Canis lupus familiaris: one gene and its partners. The protein of the gene in region 2 purifies or fractionates together with the protein of the main gene of each other region. This does not show direct contact. Links are inferred from orthologs where the notes say so. Each region holds a gene or a part of one and is shown on either strand. Other genes may lie near its edges. The genes, in order: RABL6, AP3M1, AP3B2 and AP3S2.

What was found.
Region 1: the proteins of AP3M1 (region 2) and RABL6 purify together in Homo sapiens (co-immunoprecipitation; 3 studies listed by BioGRID and IntAct, counting the BioPlex papers as one, with this or other methods). This does not show direct contact. The link is inferred for Canis lupus familiaris from reciprocal best matches to the Homo sapiens genes AP3M1 and RABL6.
Region 3: the proteins of AP3M1 (region 2) and AP3B2 purify together in Homo sapiens (co-immunoprecipitation; 3 studies listed by BioGRID and IntAct, counting the BioPlex papers as one, with this or other methods). This does not show direct contact. The link is inferred for Canis lupus familiaris from reciprocal best matches to the Homo sapiens genes AP3M1 and AP3B2.
Region 4: the proteins of AP3M1 (region 2) and AP3S2 purify together in Homo sapiens (co-immunoprecipitation; 3 studies listed by BioGRID and IntAct, counting the BioPlex papers as one, with this or other methods). This does not show direct contact. The link is inferred for Canis lupus familiaris from reciprocal best matches to the Homo sapiens genes AP3M1 and AP3S2.

The regions. Positions count from the first base shown.
Region 1 is NC_049230.1:48,747,549-48,751,910, forward strand, and holds part of RABL6 (rab-like protein 6), read right to left. Parts: intron 3,211-4,362; coding exon 3,107-3,210; intron 1,698-3,106; coding exon 1,393-1,697; intron 1,200-1,392; coding exon 1,049-1,199; intron 393-1,048; coding exon 177-392; intron 107-176; coding exon 1-106. UniProt on the Homo sapiens protein: May enhance cellular proliferation. May reduce growth inhibitory activity of CDKN2A.
Region 2 is NC_049225.1:25,257,645-25,263,098, reverse strand, and holds part of AP3M1 (AP-3 complex subunit mu-1), read left to right. Parts: intron 1-2,106; coding exon 2,107-2,244; intron 2,245-3,382; coding exon 3,383-3,468; intron 3,469-4,491; coding exon 4,492-4,625; intron 4,626-5,454. UniProt on the Homo sapiens protein: Part of the AP-3 complex, an adaptor-related complex which is not clathrin-associated. The complex is associated with the Golgi region as well as more peripheral structures.
Region 3 is NC_049224.1:55,027,189-55,033,159, reverse strand, and holds the start of AP3B2 (AP-3 complex subunit beta-2), read left to right. Parts: upstream 1-2,227; 5' UTR 2,228-2,567; coding exon 2,568-2,809; intron 2,810-5,971.
Region 4 is NC_049224.1:53,345,473-53,350,926, reverse strand, and holds part of AP3S2 (AP-3 complex subunit sigma-2), read left to right. Parts: intron 1-2,544; coding exon 2,545-2,636; intron 2,637-3,020; coding exon 3,021-3,132; intron 3,133-5,454. UniProt on the Homo sapiens protein: Part of the AP-3 complex, an adaptor-related complex which is not clathrin-associated. The complex is associated with the Golgi region as well as more peripheral structures.

The DNA of each region.
Region 1 (4,362 bases), on a different chromosome or scaffold from region 2:
GCCTCCAGAGGGGCCTTCAGCGGGGGATTTGCGGGTGCTTGGCTGGCGGGACTCTGCAGCCCTGGGAGCCATACCCCTGTGCAGCCTGGCAGCTTTTGTGGAGGGCCTTTGGGACAAAGGAGAAGTCAGGGTGCCCTTGGCTGCCACCACCCCCAGGGTGGATCCCATACACATACCGTTTGGTCTCTGGCTCAGAGCACTTCTGGGGGATGGGGACAGTGGCCTTGGGGTGCCCTGCCACCTTCTCTGCTTCCTCCTCACTGGAAGAAGTGATGTTTTCCTTGGTGATGGGGCCCACGGGCAGCAGGGGCCTGCTAGGTGGCTTATCTTCAATGTCCACATCATCCTGGAAACCTGCTACCAGTGGGTTCCCGCCTGGGACCTCCTCATCGCTGCAAAAGAGAGGCAGGGGGTCAGAGGTCACAGGGGGGCGCAGAGAGCCCCCTCCCCACCCTGAGCCCCAGACCTGGGGCACCCATGGGCACTGGCTGCAGGGCTGCTCTATCCTTGGCACTCAGCATGTGTGGGAGAACAGACAGCAAGGGGGACCTGTCCAGGACCAGTATAGGTTTTGGGGGCCCTCTGAGAAGGGAACCCGCTGGTATGGCAGACATGGCACAGACTGTGGGGGGTGAGGTGGGGCCAAGGAGATGGATGGAGATGCTGCCACGCAGCAGAGTGTGTGAAGTGGGTGCCCTTGTGCCCCCGGGTGGGGTGCAGGGCAGGGATGGGCTCAGCTGTCTGGGGGTGGGAGAGCAGCCTGGCGCTGGCCCTGTTCTGCTACTTTGCATTTCTGGAGGGACATGGGGATGCTGGAGACCAGCAGGTGTCCCCTGGGTGTAGTGCAGGGAGGTATGCACCGCAGATACCCAGGAACCGGTGATGAGGGAGCAGCAGGGGTGGGAGGCCAGGCCTGAATGCTGGTCCCTGTGTCTTGCCTGGCCCAATCCCTGGTCCATGCAGGCTTCTTCCTGGGGTGCAGGCCTTCAGGGAGTCCTTCCCTCTGTCCCCTTGGCTCACCCATGGCCCACCTGGCCTCTGCCCTTACCTGTCACTGTCCTGTGGGACCTTAGCTCCGACTCTCTTCTCATTCTGCTGGGGGCCAGTGTCATCCAGGAAGCTGCGGTCAAGGCCTTCTTCAGGAACAAAATCCTCCACGTTCTGGACTTTCACTGGGGCCTCTGGGACTGAGGCTGGCTCTGTGGACAGCAGAAGCCACTTCCCATGTGTCCAGTGCCCACTCCTGCCAGGCTCAACACAGGCTGTACCCAGGTGACTGGGCTGTGGGGTTGCCTGCCAGGAGGGAGGAGGATCCCAGCCCAGTCTGCAAGCTCCCAGGGCCAGAAGAGACCAGGCGCTCCCGCCGTGGGCCACTCACACTCCAGGGCTCACCTGGGGCTGAAGGGGCTGCCTCAGCAGCTGGTGAGGTCCCAAACAGCCTGGAGATGATGCTGCGCCGTGGGGCAGGGGCTGCAGGGGGCAGTGGGGCCTCCGTGGGGGGCAGGGGACAGGGGCAGGCTGAGGGCGTGTGGAGGGGCATCTGTGGGGCTGGCTGGGGTGTGCTGGGGCTGGAGCTCCCTGTGGACACAGCGCTGGGAGGCACTACCGGAGACTGGGAGCCTGAGGATGGGCTCTGCCCGTTGGCTGCCAGTGGGGACGCATGGCCACGGCTGCGTGCCTCCATCATCTCAAGGAAGCTGGGGGAAACAGAGCAGGCAGTGAGCAGCCACCTTCCCCTTGGTCTCCTCTCTGAGAGCAGGGTGACAGCAGTGTCCTGGTCCCCAAGCTCCTCAACCTCACACCTCATGGGCTCTATCACATCAAGCCGGGTGTCCCGGAAGGAAGGGGCTAGTGAATGCTGATGGGCAGGCTTGGCAGCTCCTCATCCATCAGCACACATGGGACCTGCTGTGGAGAGGGCCCCAAGCCCCCTGCCCAGCAGTGCTGCCTTCATCTTGCAGCCTGGTCCCAGGGCTGGCTGTGGGGCACGTATGGAGAGGAGGCTCCAGGGGCCATCTCCCTAGGGGGCAACATGCCAGCCAGTGCCACGTACCCAAGCTTATAGAAGCTGGGCATTCCCAGGATGGGTTCCACAGCAAGGGTGGTGCTCACCAGCCAAGCAGCCTACATGCAGGAAAACTCACTCCCCCAGAACCAACTACTAGTTCCAGAACCAACAAATGAACCTGGCTCCAAGGAGACCCAAAGGCCCTCTGCAAGTCCCTCTGGGGACAGACCTGTGGGGGTTGGCAGCCCCACCCCAGCCTACCCCCCGCCCCAGATCTCTGACATTTAGGTGCTCTCTATGGGAACCAAATAAAATCTAAGATGAACTTGCCCTTACGGGTAGTTTGGCCTCCACCTTCCTGAAAGGGAGAGTACCTCCCCGGGAGCTGTGGAGGGCAGACAGGGCCCCCAACTCTCGGTGCCCCTGGGACCCTGAGCAGGCAGTGCCCAGGCCTGCCCACCACCCACCTGGAAGGCTCCATCCCTAGCCCGTCCAGCAGACCCTCCCAAGGTTAAGTAGCTCTCTGAAGACCCACTGTACAATGGCAGCAAGCTGGGAGCCCAAACGCAAAGGCCTGGGAGCCAGTGTCAGCAGGGCCCGAGATGGACCCTTGGCCTGGGTCAGCCGGGCCCCAGTCGTGCCCATCAGGCTGGGGCCCCCTGGGTGCTGGTCAGGCCAGCTAAAGAAGGCCCAGCTGCAGGGAGTGCCTGCTTCCCTAGGTGAAATGGGCACCACTGAAAATTCAAGCTGCTTATTCCGGACAAGCACTTACTTTCCTGAGTGTTGAGGGTAAAGCACCCTGGTGCAGAGAACAGAATAGGCCGCAAGGGTGACCTCACCGTGAGGGCCACTTTTACCCCCCGCCTGGAGCAGCCTGGGTTCTCCCTGCCCGCATCTACGCTGAAATGCTGTGGGTTTTGGAGCAGCACACTAACACCCCCCCCACCCTGTGAGCTGTCCGCTCTGCCCAGGTGGGGGCACTCCTCATTGCTGTCTGCTGGGCAGAGCCCCCAGCTCAGAGGCCTCTGAAGTGAGGCCGCCTCCCACAGAGATGGCCTGTAGGGCTGACCTCCAAGGGCCGCCCCTGGGCTGACATACATGTCATAGTTCTGGTCCTCTGTCTCCTGCTGTACTGACAGCTCCTCCAGTGTGGCGTCCACGTCCAGCTGGTTCGTCTCCAGCTGCCGGAGCAGCGTCTCCCTCTAGAGGAGGAAGCACAGACCCCTTCAGCCCTGTGTCCTCACTTGGCCAGCCCTTGAGGGGTTCACAGCAGCTGAGCATCAGGGTACAGGGAGGCCACCTGGCCTTGGCCAGAGGGCTAGCGTGCCACCCAAGCAGCTCAGTGTGGCTCTAAGGGTCGGTGACGTGAGCAATACCTAGAATGACTGTGCCCCTCCACACGTGGTGCCCCCAGAAGGGGAGGCAGCTCTGACATGCTAAACACGAGGCTCCCTGCTGCATCCTTCAGCATGCTGAGGGGAGCACACACCACCTCCGGGGCAGGAACTGGGCCCATACAGGTGCAGCAGCCACAGCCATGACCCACAGAACATTCTGCTGCTTCCTCCAGCATGGCTGGTGCGGACTGCCAGGTACAGGAAACCTGGGGTGTTCCCCTTGGGATTGGTGTGCTTGTTGTACTTGGGTAAGAAGCTACACAGGTCTAAGAGGGATGCACACAACACCCGGGGACCTGAGGGAAAGCAGGGTGCACGGGCAGCTGGCACCGCTGAGAAGTATGCCCGTACCAACCTCCCTCTGATGGAACTCGCCACCAACCACTCGGTCTGTGGGGCCTTTGTTTCCTTCCAGAGAAAAAGACACAAGAGGAAAGACCACCACTCCCTGAGCAGGCCTGTACCCATATTGGAGGAAGAATGGAAGCCACTGTGGCTGCAGAGGCGCCACAGGCCAGCATCCTGCTGACAAGACGTTGCCTGCCCCACCATGATGTGGCAAGAAAGGCAGGGGCCTCTGTGGTCTTCCCCCTGAATATCTGGCCCATGTCAGACGGGCCTTGGATGGGGATACCTGAGATACTCAGCCCGAGCAGGCTCAGCAGAACGGCTATATGGAGGCCGGGGCTGGGCCTGGGAGGGAAAACTGGGGAATAGCCCTGCATCAGTTGGTACAACAACGCTGCTTCCAGGCTTTGGAGAGAAGCACCATGGAAACCCGACAGGCTGGCACCAGGGGAAACTGAGCAAGGGACCCAGAAGCCCTCTACCTTCTCTGTAAACCTAAAATCACTCCAAAGTAAGATGTTCAGAGAAGATGGAGCAGGCCAGTACTTGGGCTCAGATGGCTGTAAACCAGGCTCTGTGCTTGCACAGCAAGGGTGGGACCTGGTGGGG
Region 2 (5,454 bases):
TGTCAGTGAGATCTCATGCATTGTGACCTTGTACTTTGTTTTAAGCTTCTTTTTTTTTCTAAAGATGTTTATTTATTTACTCATGAATGACACAGAGAGGCAGAGGGAGAAGCAGGGAGCCTGATGCAGGGCTCCATCCCAGGACCCTGGGATCATGACCTGAACCAAAGGCAGATGCTCAACCACTGAGCCACCCAGGTGCTCCATGTTATAAGTTTGTAATTTTTATTTCTTGAATATAGCTAGAAATTAGGTACATCCAGATGACAGTATTTTTTGAGAGTGTTGAAGTCTTCTAGAGAAAGATTTCTGTGAAATGTTACATAACACACCAGCTCTGCTGTCTACCATTGTAAACCCCGCTCTAAGTGTACTGACCTAAAAAAATGGGACAAGAGAGGCCTATAAGAGGCCTTTATTCATCTTCTGTACAAAGCTGAGCATTAGGAGAAATTCAAGGAAAGATAAGATAGAATGTATGCACCTAAAACTTAGACTCTGGATGGGAGATTAGAAAAAAATTAAAGTATGTAAATAATAATATAACATTGTAAAAGGCAACTCCATACTTTATAAACAATACAGTGACATTGGAAAGTACACATGATATAATACTAAATGGAAAAAATACCAACATAAAACTATAAAAGTTTCTGTTAATTACACAAACATTCCTACAGACAAAAAAGTTCTAAAATATTTTCAATGACCGTCTCCAACTAAGGAACAACATACTATCTTTATTTTTGCTTAATACTTTCTAATTTCTAAAATAAACATGTATTTTATAGTTACTAAAATAGAGAATGAAAATACATAGGTTATTAAGGCAGTGCATTCAAGAGAATGGTTCAGTAGATGAAATAATCCCTCCTGAACTGTGGTGCTTGGCCCCAATGCAGGGCCCTAAAGAATCAGCAGAATTTAGGGAAAGAGGGAGGAATAAGAGCATTCTGTAGATGGAACTATATGAGAAAAAAAACACACAACATGAAAAACCTAGAATTATATTAATTATTTAACAGGAGCAGAGCTGTTTTTTTACTGAGTAATGAGACACAAACACCAATCATAATTAGACTGTAAAATCTAATTATATATATACAGTATATTGTATATACAGTATGATTGCAACTATATTTTAAGGTGCAGTCAAAAATAACAAACTTACCAAAATAGAAAAAAATAAATGCAGCCTATTTATGAGGGAAATGTTTAAAGAATTATACCAAACTGTTAATGGTAGTTGTATTTTGGTAACAGAAAGATAGATCCTTTTTAGCCACTTTTCTGAGCTTTCCATGTGTTGTTGTTACTAAGCATATACTACTTTTGAATTGGAAATGTAAATTAACCAAAATGTTAAATATGTCACAGCTCAAGGGTGTGTTTTGGACAATCAGACTTACTTTCAGACATATGTCAATTTACCAGTAAATTAGCCCTATATTAAACCTTAGCCATATTACAGCCATATGGTTGTGCTGACCTTAAAATGGGAAAAGGCCAGAGTGTGTTCTTCATCCTGTTACTCTGCTGAGGCCTGCTTGGCAGCATCTCATGTAGAATTTAAGCTGAATACCAAAGGGCCTACTTATCACTTATTCTCAGTGGAAACATTTTATCGGCAGAAGGTTCTACAACAACTAGCCTCTTTTCTTCATCACTGGCAGCAGGACGAGATTCTGTTGTTGAGCCACTAGAATTAGGTTAGGTTACTGTTAACACACAGGAAGCAAAAGATAGGTAAATGAATTTAACCTGGTTTGGCACATAGAGGACCACATGGCCTATTTCTGTCCCCTAGAAATTTGATCATGTCGGTATAGCAATTCCAGCAATTCTGGAAACCATCCACAACTTCGATGAAGAAAACGTAAACATTAAAGAAGCAACTAAAGCATTCTTTTTTTTTTTCCTGTTAATAGTTTTTCTTTCTTTTTTTGTTTTTAAAATAAACTATACACCAGTGTGGGGCTTGAACTCACGACCCCAAGGTCAAGAGTCGCACATTCTACCAACTGAGCCAGCCTATCACCCTTGTTAATAGCTTTCCTGATGACTATTTTATGCATTACCTTTGCTTTCTCCTTTTCCGGTTTCTAGGCAGTAGTAATGTTGGGGACACACTCCCCACTGGGCAGCTGTCCAACATCCCATGGCGGCGGGCAGGGGTAAAGTACACAAATAATGAAGCCTATTTTGATGTCGTTGAAGAAATAGATGCAATTATAGATAAATCAGGTAATTGTGTGCATGTGATCTTATTTGGGAAAAACAGTTGAGCTGACAAAATTGAAATCTCTTGGTAGTATGGTTTCAGCAGAAAGGCATTCACTTCCTGATAGCTTAAAATCTGTTTATTTTGCCCAGAGGCTACATATAATTTTCATAACCACTAGCTGAGATCTGCCAAACCTTTGTAAATCAGATCTCATGCTGCCTTACTTTAAGCCAGTTATTACCCTGTCTGCCTCTCCCTCTTGCCATTTATTCAACATTTATTGTATTATCTACCATGCACCATACTTTTGCTACCACTTTACATACAGTACTTCTGAAGACCCCAGACAAAACAGCTGTACTCTATTAGAACCATAAATTTTACTAAAAACATCTAGTCCAACCTTCACATTTTATACATAAGGAAACTGAGGCTCAAAAGGGTTTAGTAATCTGCTCAAGGTCACACAGCTAGTTGCTGTGTGAAAATGAGTTATTGTGAATTATAGCCAGTATTTTTTCTTCAATCAGTGCCCTTTTCATTATAAAAATTCTATCATACAGAATAATAGCTACATTATTACAGAATAATGGCTCCTATTCAAAGTTAACAGCTTAGTCCATTTCAATGAGAAATTTGCCTCATTTTTAAATTCCATTAAAAATATTTTAACTTCAAACACTTTTTTTTTCTAAAAGGGAAAGAGTTGATGGGGAGGGACAGAGGCGGAAGGGGAGAGAGAATCTTAAGCAGGCTCCATGCCCAACAGGAAGCCCAAGGTGGGGCTGCATCTCAGGACTTTAAGATCATGACCTGAGCAGAAATTAGGCGCTGGCTGCTTAACAGACCGAGCCACCTAGGCACCCCAAAAACATTTTAATTTCATATCCAGCAGTCTTACAAGGTTGACTATGTCAAGACAGAGGCAGGTTTGATATTCCGTAGAATTACCCCAGTCCTACCAGTTAGGTGTGGGCGTTTAGTGAAGAAACTGTCATAACTGGTGCAATGGATCCTCTGTCCCACTAACTTGTTAGTAGATGTGCAAGTTTCATTATGTCTGACACCGAGGTGATGTCTCCATTATTTCAGAGACAGTGATCGCTCTAGTCTTTACTAGACTCCAATTCCAGTGATGTTATCACTTCCTTTCTTCAGGATCTACAGTGTTTGCAGAAATTCAGGGGGTCATTGATGCTTGCATTAAGCTATCTGGAATGCCTGACCTTTCTCTTTCTTTCATGGTAAGTTTTGTTCTCCTGTCCTGTAGATCTTTGTATGCCTAATATATATGAAGTACTGAAAGAAATGATAAATACTGAGAGATGTTTGTATCTTAGATTGTAAGTATTATCTCAGAAATATTCTAAGATTTATTTACTTATTTAGAGAGAGCATGAGCAGGGGGAGGGGCAGAGAGAGAGAAAGAGAGAATCTTAAGCAGACTCCACGCTGAGCGGGGAGCCTGACATGGGGTTTGTTCTCCCAACCCTGAGATCATGACTTAAGCCAAAATCAAGAGCCTGCTGTTTAACTAAACCACCCAGGTACCCCTATCTCAGAAATATTCTTAGCACAGCTTCCCAAGACAGTGGCTTACATAATGAGCATGGCCTTTATGGAAAGGCTGAGGAGAAGTCTTCTCCTGGCTATGTTAGAAGTGGCTTAAATGGCTGGATGGCTTCTGCAAATCTGTAGTCTCACTGAATTATTATTTGCTTTACTGATAAGAAAGGGCATTGATCTTTTGCATCATTTTAGATTTGGCATGATACACTACTAAGAAAAGAGAACAAAGTTCTGTTGCTATCTCGTTTTGACCTTGAGTTCTTCCAACTTCATTTTTGTCATCTGTGAAATGGAAATGATAGTACGGCTCACATTTTCTACTTAATAGTAATTGAAATTCAACTAAAATAACATATGAAATATTTGCGGCCACCTGGGTGGCTCAGATGGTTAAGTAGCCGGCTCTTGATTTCAGCTCAGGGTTGTGAGGTTCGAGATCTGTGTCTGGCTCCACACTCAGTGGAGAATCTGCTTGAAGATTGTCTCTCCCTCTCCCTCTGCCCCCTCCCCTGCTTTACAAAATATATTTGAAATCTCAAAGCCTTGTGAAACTGTTAACTGTGTGTTATTGTGGTCATAGTAACAAACTCGTAATGTAACTTTTATCCTTAGGGAGTACATTAATTTCTCATAGTATCCTAGCAGACTTGCCCTATTCCGCACACTCTGTGAATACTGCCGTCTTGTTTTCCTGGCAGAACCCACGGCTTCTCGACGATGTCAGCTTCCACCCCTGCATCCGGTTCAAGCGCTGGGAATCTGAAAGAGTTTTGTCATTTATTCCTCCAGATGGAAATTTCCGACTCATATCGTATCGTGTCAGCTCACAAAAGTACGTTGATGCATCAACTAGAAATCTGCTATCATGTATCAGAGTGATGGGTAGTCCCCTTACCTTTTTCATTCTGACAGGTGGATACTTGAATTCATCACTGCTCTCTTTGGCCATGGCTCATTAGGAAACTCAGGAAGAACTGGTGAAATATGTATCTAAAATAATCAGTGTTCCTTGAATGTGAGAATATAAAGTACTAGTAAAACATATACCGGAGAACAAACACTTTGGACTGTGCACAACCTACACAAAACCTTGAACCCATGCCATAATTTTACTGTGGTCTGTAGACTTCATATCTGACAGAGGGAGACAGATACATCTCTAATTCTCTAGGCAATCGCCCAATTAACTGACTTCCGGTCACTCTTTCGGGTACTAAGATTAAATGAATGAATTGGCATTGTGGGTTGTAAATGGTTTGTCCCTTGAAAATATCAGAAGGCATTTGGGTAGCATCAGTAATACTCAAAAGCAGAGGAGTTATTTCTTGGCTCTTACCACATAGGGACAATTTCATTTAGTTTAATTTTAAATTCTCTTTTCTATGGGACCTTAATTAATTTCTTCAAACTAGGGCTATTTGTGCCACTTGTTTATCCTATCTTGAATCCTGTCTTGATTTGATACTTCTTGCTCAGAAATTGTGTAATTCCTAGTGTGGTGGTGCTCAGACTCTCTGGTGAGTACTAGTGAATGCTGACCCTCCAGGTCTGGGGATATATGGCCCTCGGTAGAGTCAAAGGAGTGGAATACTCTGGACTGAGGTTCTCAGGCTACCTCAGGAGCTGTCTCACACAATTAATTATGTTTGTGGTTGTATCTG
Region 3 (5,971 bases), on a different chromosome or scaffold from region 2:
TCAGAGGGAGGGATGCGAGGAGCTGGTGCCTGGCCTGGAGAACAGAGGCAGGGGAGCATGAAGGGTGTTCTAGGCAGAGCAAAGAACTGGTAGGGAGAGGGGAGATGGAGAGCCAGGCTTTGTAGGTGCTAGTGGGATATGGCCCAAATCGTTGTGCAATCCTCTGGAGTGACCAGAAATGAGGGTTCTGAGCAGGTTATACAGATTTGCATTTTAGGATTCTAGGCTGAATTATGCAGAAGAGATTGGGGTGTGCTAGTTTGAGCAGGAAACAAGGGGTGGTGTGGAAGTTGGGGGAGGGGACATGATGGTGGGAGGGGCAGAGGATTTGAGGGCTTTTGAGACTGTAGAAGTCACAGACTTGATTAACTGGGGGAAGAAGGTAAGTATAATACTCAGATTACTATTTCTTGTAACTGGATAGATGGTAGTGCCTTACAGTGTGTTTGGAAATAAAGATGTTACAAACAAATTTGTGAAAATAATTTGGAGCCCAGCTTTTGAGAGCCTGAGATTGTAAACTCTGGGGGGTATTTAAGCCTAGGAGCTAGGAGATTTTAGGATTTGGATTCCAGGACAGATTCTTAACATATATATATTTAAATAAATATATTTAATATATATATAAATAAATATATTATATTATATTATATTATATTATATTATATTATATTATATATATTAAAGCCACAGAAGGAAGTGAAGGTAACCCAGGGATATAAAATGAGTACAGACAGTGCACAGATAGGAACTTTAAAGACACAGACATTAGGGATGACCAGAATGCAGTGGAAGAGTGTTTCAAGGTAACTGAGAAAAAGTAAACTGAAGGCATCATGCGGTTTCAAGGAGGCAGCAATCCATAATGTCAACCCAAACAAGGGAAAGAAATCACGACCATTGGCTTGACAAAGAGTCGGTCAACCTCTCCCTGTTCTGCTCCCCACTTCCTGTTCTGTGGGACAAGTCTGGCGAAGTCAGAAGAGGGGGAGCTGGGTTATTTTTCCCCAACATTCTATTACGAACAATGTTAAACATACAGAAAAATTGATTTTATAATACAAGGAATACATACATACCCTCCACCTAGATCCAACCATTGTTGACATTGTGCCATGTTTGCTTTATTTATTTTTTATTTTTTAAACATATTTTATTTATTTATTTATTTATTTATTTATTTATTTATTTATTTATTTATTTGAGACACACAGAGGCAGAGACATAGGCAGAGGGAGAAGCAGGCTCCCTGCAAAGAGCTCGATGTGGGACTCAGTCCCCAACCCCACCATCACGCTCTGAGCCAAAGGCAGATGCTCAACCGCTGAGCCACCCAGGCATCCCTGCTTTATTTTTTTTTAAGATTTTATTTATTTATTCATGAGAGACAGAGAGAGGCAGAGACATAGGCAGAGGGGGAGGCAGGCTCCCTGTGGGGATCCCGATGCAGGACTCCATCCCAGGACCCCAGATCATGCCCTGAGCCCAAGGCAGATGTCCAACCGCTGAGCCACCCAGGTGCCCCTCAGCCCTAAATTCTTATCAGCGTCTCAAACCAGGTTAAAGTGAATAAAGGAGCAAATAAGAGATAAATAAATAAAACACAGTGAATGGGAAATTTGGTTTCCAGAAGTTTGTAAAGGGGAGAGAGAGAGAGAGAGAGAGAGAGAGAGAAAGAGTAGCTGGAGATAATTAGTTCAAGAAGGTTTATTTTATTTTTGCTGTTACTTTTGCTTATTATCTGGATGGGGAGCCTGGAGCAAGTCTAACTGCTGATGGGAAGGAGCCAGTTGTGTGGGAGAGGCTGAAGGGAACTGAAGCAGGCCTGGACCCCTGGGTGGTGGGAGGGGAAGCCTACAGAGCTGCCTTTGAGGAGGATCACTGCCCACGGGGAGGAGAACAGGAGAGGAGACGCAGATGTTTGGGAGCTGCAGGGGATTTTATCTGAGGCCTTTCATTTTCATGAGAAACAGGTGGTGAAGCTCTCAGAGCCAGAGAGCAAGGCTGTGGGTGGGGATTTGAGGCACATTGAGCAGGTCTGAAATCCAGCAAATAAAGCCAACTACTCCTGGCAGGGTAGGGGCAGCAAGGATGGGAGGGCCTTGGGTATGAGAGAGAGAGCAGCTAGAGGGACGGGCTGGGAGGCTGGGCCAGGTGGGGAGGAAGTAGAGACCAGAGAATACTGAGAAGGAAGGAAGGAATCAAGGACCTGGCTCCGGGTTCGGGTCAGAGTGGGAAGGGGGTGTACAGGGTTTCTGAGGAAGAGCAGTTCTGGGGAGGCAGGGGTCCAGATGTGGCAGGAGAGTGGGAGTGAGGAGGGCATCCCTCACCTCTGTCTGGATCAGCTCCCCTGGCCCACAGGCCAGAAATAGGGGTGGTTTACTCCCCAGTCCCTGCCGTCCTCCCCATCTGGAGTCCTATCTCTGAGCCACGAAAAGGAAACCAGAGCCTCCTTCCCTGCCAGTGTCTGGTTTCTGAGTTTCGGGGGCGGACCGTCTAGGACAGGGACAGGCGTCCCTGGCTCCCTGGTTGGCTCAGTCTCATCTCAGAGCAGGACCCGGTGCCCCATGCAGCGATTCCTGCAGCTCCCGGGGGCTGTGGTGAGGCCAGGGGGCAGAGGGGCTGGTGCAGCTGACCAGGAGGCTGCCAGCCCTGTGCTGGCCCCTGAAGGCGGGCCCCCACCCTGGTACCAGGCCCTGCAGCCTGAGGAGCTCCGGTGGCTGCAGGCCCCCGAGGAAGACACAATCCCGGAGGCGTCCCTGGAAGGGCCTGGCCCGGAGCCTGGCCAGAGCCAGAGCCAGCCGCTAAGGTACAGAGGAACTCCCAGGGCCCCTCACCCCCATGCCAGGAAGGGTGGACAGCTGCTGCTCTAGCTCAAACTCCACCTCCCCAGGAGGAGGTCTAGGTGGGTGGGGGCATCAGGGGTGCAGTGTGGGGGCTGAGTGTATGAGGCGATGAACATAACTCGGGCAGCTCTGGCAGGGGGGGATAGTGTTATGGTTCCACCTGGACCTTCCCCCTCCCAGGTCCCGGCTGCAGTGGGCTCTGGGTGAGGTTTGGAGACAGGCTAAGATGCAGAGTTTGGGCAGCCCACCCCCACCCCCACTTCTAATGGATTGGGATTTGGTGGTGAGGAGAGGGAGGAAGGTGTATATCAAGGAGGTGAGCACGTCTGGCCTCAGTGTCTGGGTGGCTCTGGCCACCCCCTGGAGAGTTCCTCGGCCAGGTCAGGCCAGGGGTCAGGGCAGAGAGAGTGCGGTGTAAGGGGATCTGACCACAGAGGCTAATGTTTCATGGCTTCGGAGCCTTGCTGTGCATCCCTCGCTCCCTCTCCCTCTCGGGCACACAAGATGACGGCCCGGGGGTGGTCACATCCCAGGAGGGGGCTGATGTCTGCTCATGGGCATTTGACAGTCCTGCCTGGCTCCCTGTGCCATGTACCCACAGGCCCTCCCCTCCCTCAATTCTCCTTGGCCGGCTGGAGCCTCCAGGGCCTGGAGTATTTGCACCAGGCCGGGAGGGTGGGAGTAGTATGGGTGCTGCAGCACGGCCCCAGGGGTGGTGCATTTGACAGGGGCCTGTGGCATTTCTAGGAGTGGTGAGGACACTCCGGGTGAGGAAGTCTGCTTTAGAGAACACCCAGGCAAACTCCAGCTGCTCCCAGTCAGGTCACCCAGGCCCACCCCTCAGGAGGAGGCCGGAGGGTCCATGAGGCTGCCTGTGTTTGATCCTAGAAGCCTAAATTCATCTTCCAGCATCTCAAATAGGAGTTGACTGGACACTGGGGAATGAGGCCAGAGTGACAGTTTTGTTGAGAGGGTGTATGTGTACGTGGTGTGTGTTGTGGAGGGGCTTGGGTGTGGGGGTGCATTGGGTGGGATGTGCACATCCAGATGGGGGTGTGGGAGGGAATGGAGAAGTCTTGTGGGAATGTGTGTGTTTGTGGGGGTCTAGGGATGTGGGTGTGAGGTATGTGTTAATGCATATGTGGGTATATGTGTGTAGAGTTTCTGTGGGAAGTGTCTGAACGTGTGGTGTATGTGTCTGTGATCGTGTGTTTCTCCAAGGGTCGTGGGTGTGTATGAGTTTATGTATGAATTGTGTGTGTCTGGGGGTACAGGTGTGTCTGGGGATGTGTGGATATATCTATGGGGTGGAGGTGTGGGGGTATGGGTATGTCTAGGGGTGTAGGTGTGAGGTGTGTCTGGGTGTGAGAATGTCTGGGGTCCAGGTGGTCTGTGGGGTGTGGGTATATCTGGGGGTGTGGGTATGTCTGGGGTACAGATGTGTCTGTGGGGGGGATGTGGGGATGTCTGGGGTACAGATGTGTCTGTGAGGGGTACAGGCGTGTCTGTGGGGTGCAGGTGTGCCTGTGGTACGTGTGGATGGTGCTGGAGCGTGGAGGGGGTATTGGGATGTGTGGGTATTTGTGGGATGTGTGCTGTGAGCTGTCCATATGGTGGAATGTGGCAGTTCAGCGGCCTGCACTCATACTCGGGGACCGGGGTGCCCAGCGTTTATCCTCCCACAGCCCTAATGGTGCCCATGCTCAGCTGCACCGTCTGGGCCTCCTGTACCCCGTGGGCTTGAGCTCAGCCTGCAGGAGTGGACCACCTGGCCTGTGTTTGGGAGAGTGAGAAGATCCTCTGATCTGGGGGCGTTTAGATGAGCATGGCTGGGGCTGGACATTCTTCTGCCTTCTGTGATGACTAGCAGGTCTTCTGTGTCCTGGAAGACATTAGCTTTCTATCCTGCTTTCCACCAAAAAATCTGTTCAGGAAAGACCCTTTCTAAAACCCTTGGATCATCCATAGCTTAGCTCTGCTTCTGTCCCTTCTGAGTGTGCGTTAGGCACTTGGGCATCTGTGCAGAAGGCAGCCCATGCATCACGTTGGCTTCTTCCCTTCCTCTCGGCCTTTGTCGCTGACTTGCCTCTCAGCACCGGCAGCACCGCCACCCTGGCCTGTCTGTGACTGTTGTCCTGCTCATCCCTGCTGTCGCTATTCGCTTCAATTTCTGACATTCTGCTGTCTCTAAATATGTCATTGCTTTTTTTTTTTTTTTTTTTATGGGTTGTCATTGCTTTTTAATTTCTACTGTTAGTGATAACCTTTCTAGGCTGGGTTCTCCTGCCTGGCTCAAAAGCTGTGGCTTATTATCTGGAAGATGAGAGAATTGTGCAGGACTCTGCACACACTGATCACCACATCTTGGAACCGTTTTGGCAACACATGAGCACATCAGTTGTCCCACAGCTGTCTTGGCTGTATAGAAGCATTTTTTCCATGAGTCTATTCACAGGTTCACTTCTTTGACCACCTACCCCTAGACCTCTGAGTATGGTCAGGCAGGTTGTTCACTGCACAAGGGCACATGACTGAGGACTACCAGACTATGCTCCACTCTTTGAAAGGAGAGCGATAGCTCAGGGCTATGTCTCCTTGGAGGGACTAACAGGTGTGGATATGCTTGCAGCAGCCCTTACAATGAAAGCTGGATATAGACCTTAAATCTATATTGGTGCTTTATTTTGTTTTTGTTTGTTTGTTTAAGATTTTATGTATTTATTCATGAGAGACAGAGAGAGGCAGCGACATAGGCAGAGGGAGAAGCAGGCGACATTCAGGGAGCCCGATTCAGGACTCAATCCCAGGACCCCAGAATCACAACCTGAACAGATGCTGAACCGTTGAGCAACCAGGCGCCTTAATGCTTTATTTTGAATATTAAATTTTTGTTTGCCATATCCCAAATATTTTCCTTTCTGTTGCTTTATAGGCTGTATTGTGTCCCCTTCAAATTCCTATGTTGAAGTCCTAACCCCTGGTACCTCAGAATATGACTATATTTGGGGCAGGGGTCTTTAAAGAGGTGATTATGTTAAAATGAGGTCATGAGGGATCCCTGGGGGGCGCAGCAGTTTGGCGCCTGCCTTTGGCCCAGGGCGTGATCCTGGAGACCCGGGATCGAA
Region 4 (5,454 bases), on a different chromosome or scaffold from region 2:
TGGTCTCCAGGATCACACCCTGGGCCAAAGGCAAGCACTAAACCACTGAGCCACCCAGAGATCCCCTGTTTTCATTTTTCTAGGTTATAAACCTAGCACTAAAATTGCTGGGTCGTATAGTAACTCTGGTGAACATTTTGAGAAATTGTCCAACTGTTTTTCCAAAGTGGCTGTACTGATTTATGTACCCTTCAGCAATGTATAGGAGTTCCAATTTCTCCACTTCCCTATCAACATTTGTTACTATCTTTCTGATAAGAAACACTTTAATGGGTATAAAGTGGATTCTCATTATGGTTTTAATTTGTTTCCCTAATGACTAATGATGTTGAGCAACTCTGCATGTCCTTATTGGCCATTGGTAAACTTTCTTTGGAGGACATAGGATTTTTATAAGAACCACATTAGCTTGTAAGTGAAAGTTACCTTGAAAATTGCAGAGAACTAAGAGATATAAGGGGTTGTTAAAAGTCTTTGAGATATCTAAGCAAGTGTTAGTTCACTTTTCTGTTGAAATTAGAAATTAGTTAGCTTCACCATTTCATAGCACTTCTCTGCTGCAACCTCCTCCTAGGGTCAGATAAATGGCTTTAGTTTGAAAGATGTTTTTGTCAGGTTAAAAAAAGTGCTGATATTTTAGCATGTTTTGTACTTCCAAGTACACAGAGTTAATCCTTTACAGTATCCTGGCGTCAGTTAGCTTTGTGACTTTAAATGGAAACCCGGAAAACAGTGACTGATTGACTCAAACTTAAAGCGAATAGTGATTAGCAGGTTTTCATTCATTCAGTAAATACTGAGCCATTGTTTATCCATGTTAAGTCAAAATTATGAAATGTAATTTCTCCACAATGACATTTTCCCTGGTTTTTTTTTTTTTCAGTCTATTAAATAACCTTTCAAACTTAAGGCAGTGCTTAAATTCAAACTTAAATTCAATGCTTTAGAAAGAAGGGATTAACATTACTTGAGTCTATTTTCTGACTCTTAGGGCAAGTCCAATCTGAAGGTTTTCTTAAGCTTTGGTACTCAAAATGTATACCCAGACCAGCAGCATTGGTACCAGCATTGGTATTACCTGGACGCTTGTTAGAAATGCAATCTTAGGGATCCCTGGGTGGCGCAGCGGTTTAGCGCCTGCCTTTGGCCCAGGGCGCGATCCTGGAGACCCCGGATCGAATCCCACGTCGGGCTCCTGGTGCATGGAGCCTGCTTCTCCCTCTGCCTATGTCTCTGCCTCTGTCTCTCTCTCTCTCTTTGTGACTATCATAAAATAGAAAAAATAAAAAAAATAAAAAGAAATGCAATCTTAGAATATACCCCAAACCTACTAAATCAGAACCTATATTTTAATAACATTCCCAGGTGATTCGTTGCATATTGAAATGTAAGGGCATTGGTCTAGAGCTTTTAATTGCTTTTGTCTTAATGATCAGTGTATTTCTTCCATCATCCTTTTATTTTTTTTAAGATTTATTTATTTATTTGAGAGAGAGCAGGGGGAGGGGCAGAGAGAGAATCTCAAGCAGATTCCCTTCTGAGTGCACAACCCATGGCAGGGCCCAATCTCACGACTCTGAGATCGTAACTTGAGCTGAAAACAAGAGTTGGGTGACTGAGCCACCCAGGTGCCCCCCCATCGTCCTTTTTTTTTTTTTTTTAAACCATATTTACTATGAACCTCCTCTGTATAGACAGAAATCAGTATGAGTTATCAAGAGGTATCATTACAGTTGAGCTTTCTTGTGTATGGTAGTGAAGAAAAGTATAACTTAAAATTCTAATCTGTAAATAGAATTTTTTTCTGTCAATAATACTTTGTTGGTGAGTAAATACCCCATCTTATATGTAATACCATATTTTACCAGTACAAAAGATGGAAAATTCAGGTTTTAAAAACATGGTTACACAATTAAATCTTGACCTCCCTGAAAGGTTAGACCTATTGACATTTGTTATTTGCCCTGGTGTAGATATATTCTAGGGGAAGGCAAAATACTCCAGGACTGGATCTTCTAGTTATTCTTTGGTCTTTTATGAGAGTTTATTAGTTCTCCTTCCCTTGTTTCTTTTTTTTTTTTTTTTTAAGATTTTATTTATTTTAGAAAGAGAGTATGAGTGGGAGGAGGGACTGAGGGAGAAGGGGAGAGAGAATCTCAAGCAGACTCTTCGCTAAGCATGGAGACTGAGGTGGTACTCCATCTCACAACCCTGAGATCATGACCTGAGCCGAAACCCAGTCGGATGCTGAACCAATTGAGCTACTCAGGCACCCTGCTCCTTTCCTTGGTTATTAACCATAAGGAAGTGTCGCTTTACCTCTCAGGACAGTAATGGTTAGTGACTTGATGTCCAGATAAATGTGCCCTAGCTTAATTCCTGTAACTGAGTCTTACCATTTTCCATAGATTCCCCTTTTATTTTTTCTGGAAACTGGTACCAAATCTTTAGATCGTTCCTGCTTAGAAGCACTTCTCTCCCTGTTCATCCATGGAATGTAGTTTTTCAGACATCCCCACTGATTCACTTTCTTTTATTCCATAGCCAGAAGAAATTCAACAACAGATTGTTCGAGAGACCTTCCATCTAGTTCTCAAGCGAGATGACAACATTTGTAACTTCTTGGAAGGTGGAAGGTAAATAATGGGCTTCAGTTTTCTATCCGTGTATCTACTGTTGGGTGTTCTTCATCACTGTTGCCTCTTCAAGTGGTACTCAAGTGTCAGGTGGGTACCTGAGCTGCCCAGGAAGAGACCCAGTTCTGTTTGGGAAGCTGTTGAATGATTGTGCTTCAGATGTTACTCATTTAGATGTTTGGTTTCCGGGAAGATGGTAGAAGAAAAAGTGAGGTAAAGTGGTTTTAGGTACCTCTGCCAAACCTGGTTGCTGTTCCCCTGGTAGAAATGGCCTGTTGTTTGCCTGTCTTCCCCTTTCTGTTGCGCCTATTCTCATTCTTTGGCATGGAGTTTTCTTCGATACATTTAAGATACAGCCATTTAAACATTTCCCATCTTCCACAGTTTGATTGGTGGCTCTGACTACAAATTGATTTATCGGCACTATGCTACACTCTACTTTGTGTTTTGTGTGGATTCATCAGAGAGTGAACTTGGAATCTTGGACCTCATCCAGGTATGTGTAGTCAGCTAATGATGGCAGCCACTAATGAGAATTTGCACTGGATTTTTGAGTAACCATCCTGTAGATCTTTTTGTCAGTCTCTTTATTGATGCTGGTAAGAATTGCCAGATGTCCACCATATGGTGCTGTAAGAAAGCTCCTAGCAACCCTTAAAAACTAGAGCTTTTGGACTCATTGGTTTCTACTGAGCCCTCTCACTGCCTTTGGTTTTCATGTACAATTCTGACACCAATTCCAATGTGTGTGCTTCCCCCTCCACCACCACCTAGCAGTTAACTCAGTTCTCTGTGGGCAGTGACTAGGTGTCCCACAAATTTAACTCAATTCTGACACTATCTACCTGGAGATAGATACCAATCACAACTCCAGGGTGGTATCACCTGTGCTTCTGACTGGCTATAGATCAGGGAGGTTCCCATGACTTCCTCCTTGGGTTTGATTTGCTAGAGTGGCTCATAGAACTCTTGAGAGGAACATGTTGCTTACTAGATTACCAGCTTACTATAAAAGGATATAACTCAGGAATAGCCAGATGGAAGAGATTTACAGGGCAAAGAATGGGGAAGTGAGGAAAGGACATGCCCTTTCCAGTCAGGCCACTCTCCAAAGTCCACCAACCCGGAAGCTCTCAAAACAATGTCCTGTTGGATTTCTCTGGAGATTGAGGGTGGGACTGAAAGTTCCAATCCTCTAATTGTATGGTTGGTTCTCTGACTACCAGCCTCCATTGTTAGGTGCTTTCTAAAAATCATCTTATTAACATAAACAGGACATCTTTATCATTTAAGAGCTCTATGCCAGAAACAGAGATGAATACCAAATATTTTCTTTTCTTTTTTTTTTTTTTTAAAGATTTTATTTATTTATTCATGAGTGACACAGAGAGAGAGACACAGAGAGAGAGACACAGGCAGAGGGAGAAGCCGGCTCCGTATAGGGAGCCTGACATGGGACTCGATCTTGGGTCTCCAGGATCAGGCCCTGGGTTGATGGCAGCACTAAACCGCTGAGCCACCCGGGCTGCCCCCAAATATTTTCTTATTATAAATTATAGTATCATATCATCTTTTGAAATTTTTTTCAACTGTCAAACCGATTGACATTTAAGAATTCATACTTTTTATTTTCACTTGTAATTCTAGCCTAAGACAAAGAGACTTGATGTTTTAGTTAGTCTGTGCAATCTTGACATAGGTAAACATGATTTCTTTAGGATTTTTGAAAATGGCTTACAGATTTTTTAAAAGATTTTATTTATTTACATGTTTGTTTATTAATTTATTTGCGAGAGATGGAGAGAGAAAGCAAGCATCAGCAGGGGGAGAGGCAGAGAGAGAAGCAGACACCCCACCAAGCAGGGAGTCTGATGCAGGGCTAGATCCTAGGAACCTAGGATCATGACTCAAGCCCAAGGCAGACACTTAACCTGACTGAGGCAACCAGGTGCTCCTGGAATTTTTTTTTTTTTTTTTTTTTTAAGTAATTTCTGCATCCAGTGTAGGGCTCAAACTCAGAACCCTGAGAGCAAGAGTCACATACTGTATCAGTAAGTCAGCCAGGTGCCCCTATTCCATCATTTTATACATGAAATTTTAGGCAGGCTTCCTTTAAGTGACTTAAGTTTCTTAAGTAGAAAGCACTGAAATAGAAGCTTGCATTAAAATCTAATTAACAATTATAGAAAACTAGCTACAAAAATATAAATTTTACATTCAGAAAATCATTTTAAGATGATTAATTTAAAATCATGCTTATATTCGCATACAGTATATAACAGTACAAATTATCTAAAAAAGAGTATCTCTAAGATGATTTAAAAAGATTTTAAAAAATATTTTATTTATTCATGAAAGACACAGAGAGGCAGAAACACAGGCAGAGGGAGAAGCAGGCTCCTCACGGGGACCCCAATGTGGGACCCGACCCTCAAACTGGGATCATGCCCTAGCCAAAGGCAGATGCCCAACCTCTGAGCCACCCAGACATCCCTAAAAAGCTTTCTTTTCTTTTCTTTTCTTTTTTTATTTTTAATATTTTTTATTTATTTATTAGAGATACTGAGAGAGAGAGAGAAGCAGGCTCTATGCTGGGAGCCCGACGTGGGACTCGATCCTGGGTCTCCAGGATCACACCCTGGGCTGAAGGTGGCGCTAAACTGCTAAGCCACCGGGGCTGCCCCCTAAAAGGCTTTCTTAAAACACCTGAGTCAGATTGAACATTGAGAGTCAGTGTGGCATAATAGAAAGAGCTTAAGATCTAGAATCAGAAAACCTGCATTTGAGTCCTGGATCTACCATCTGAATATAGAAGTAA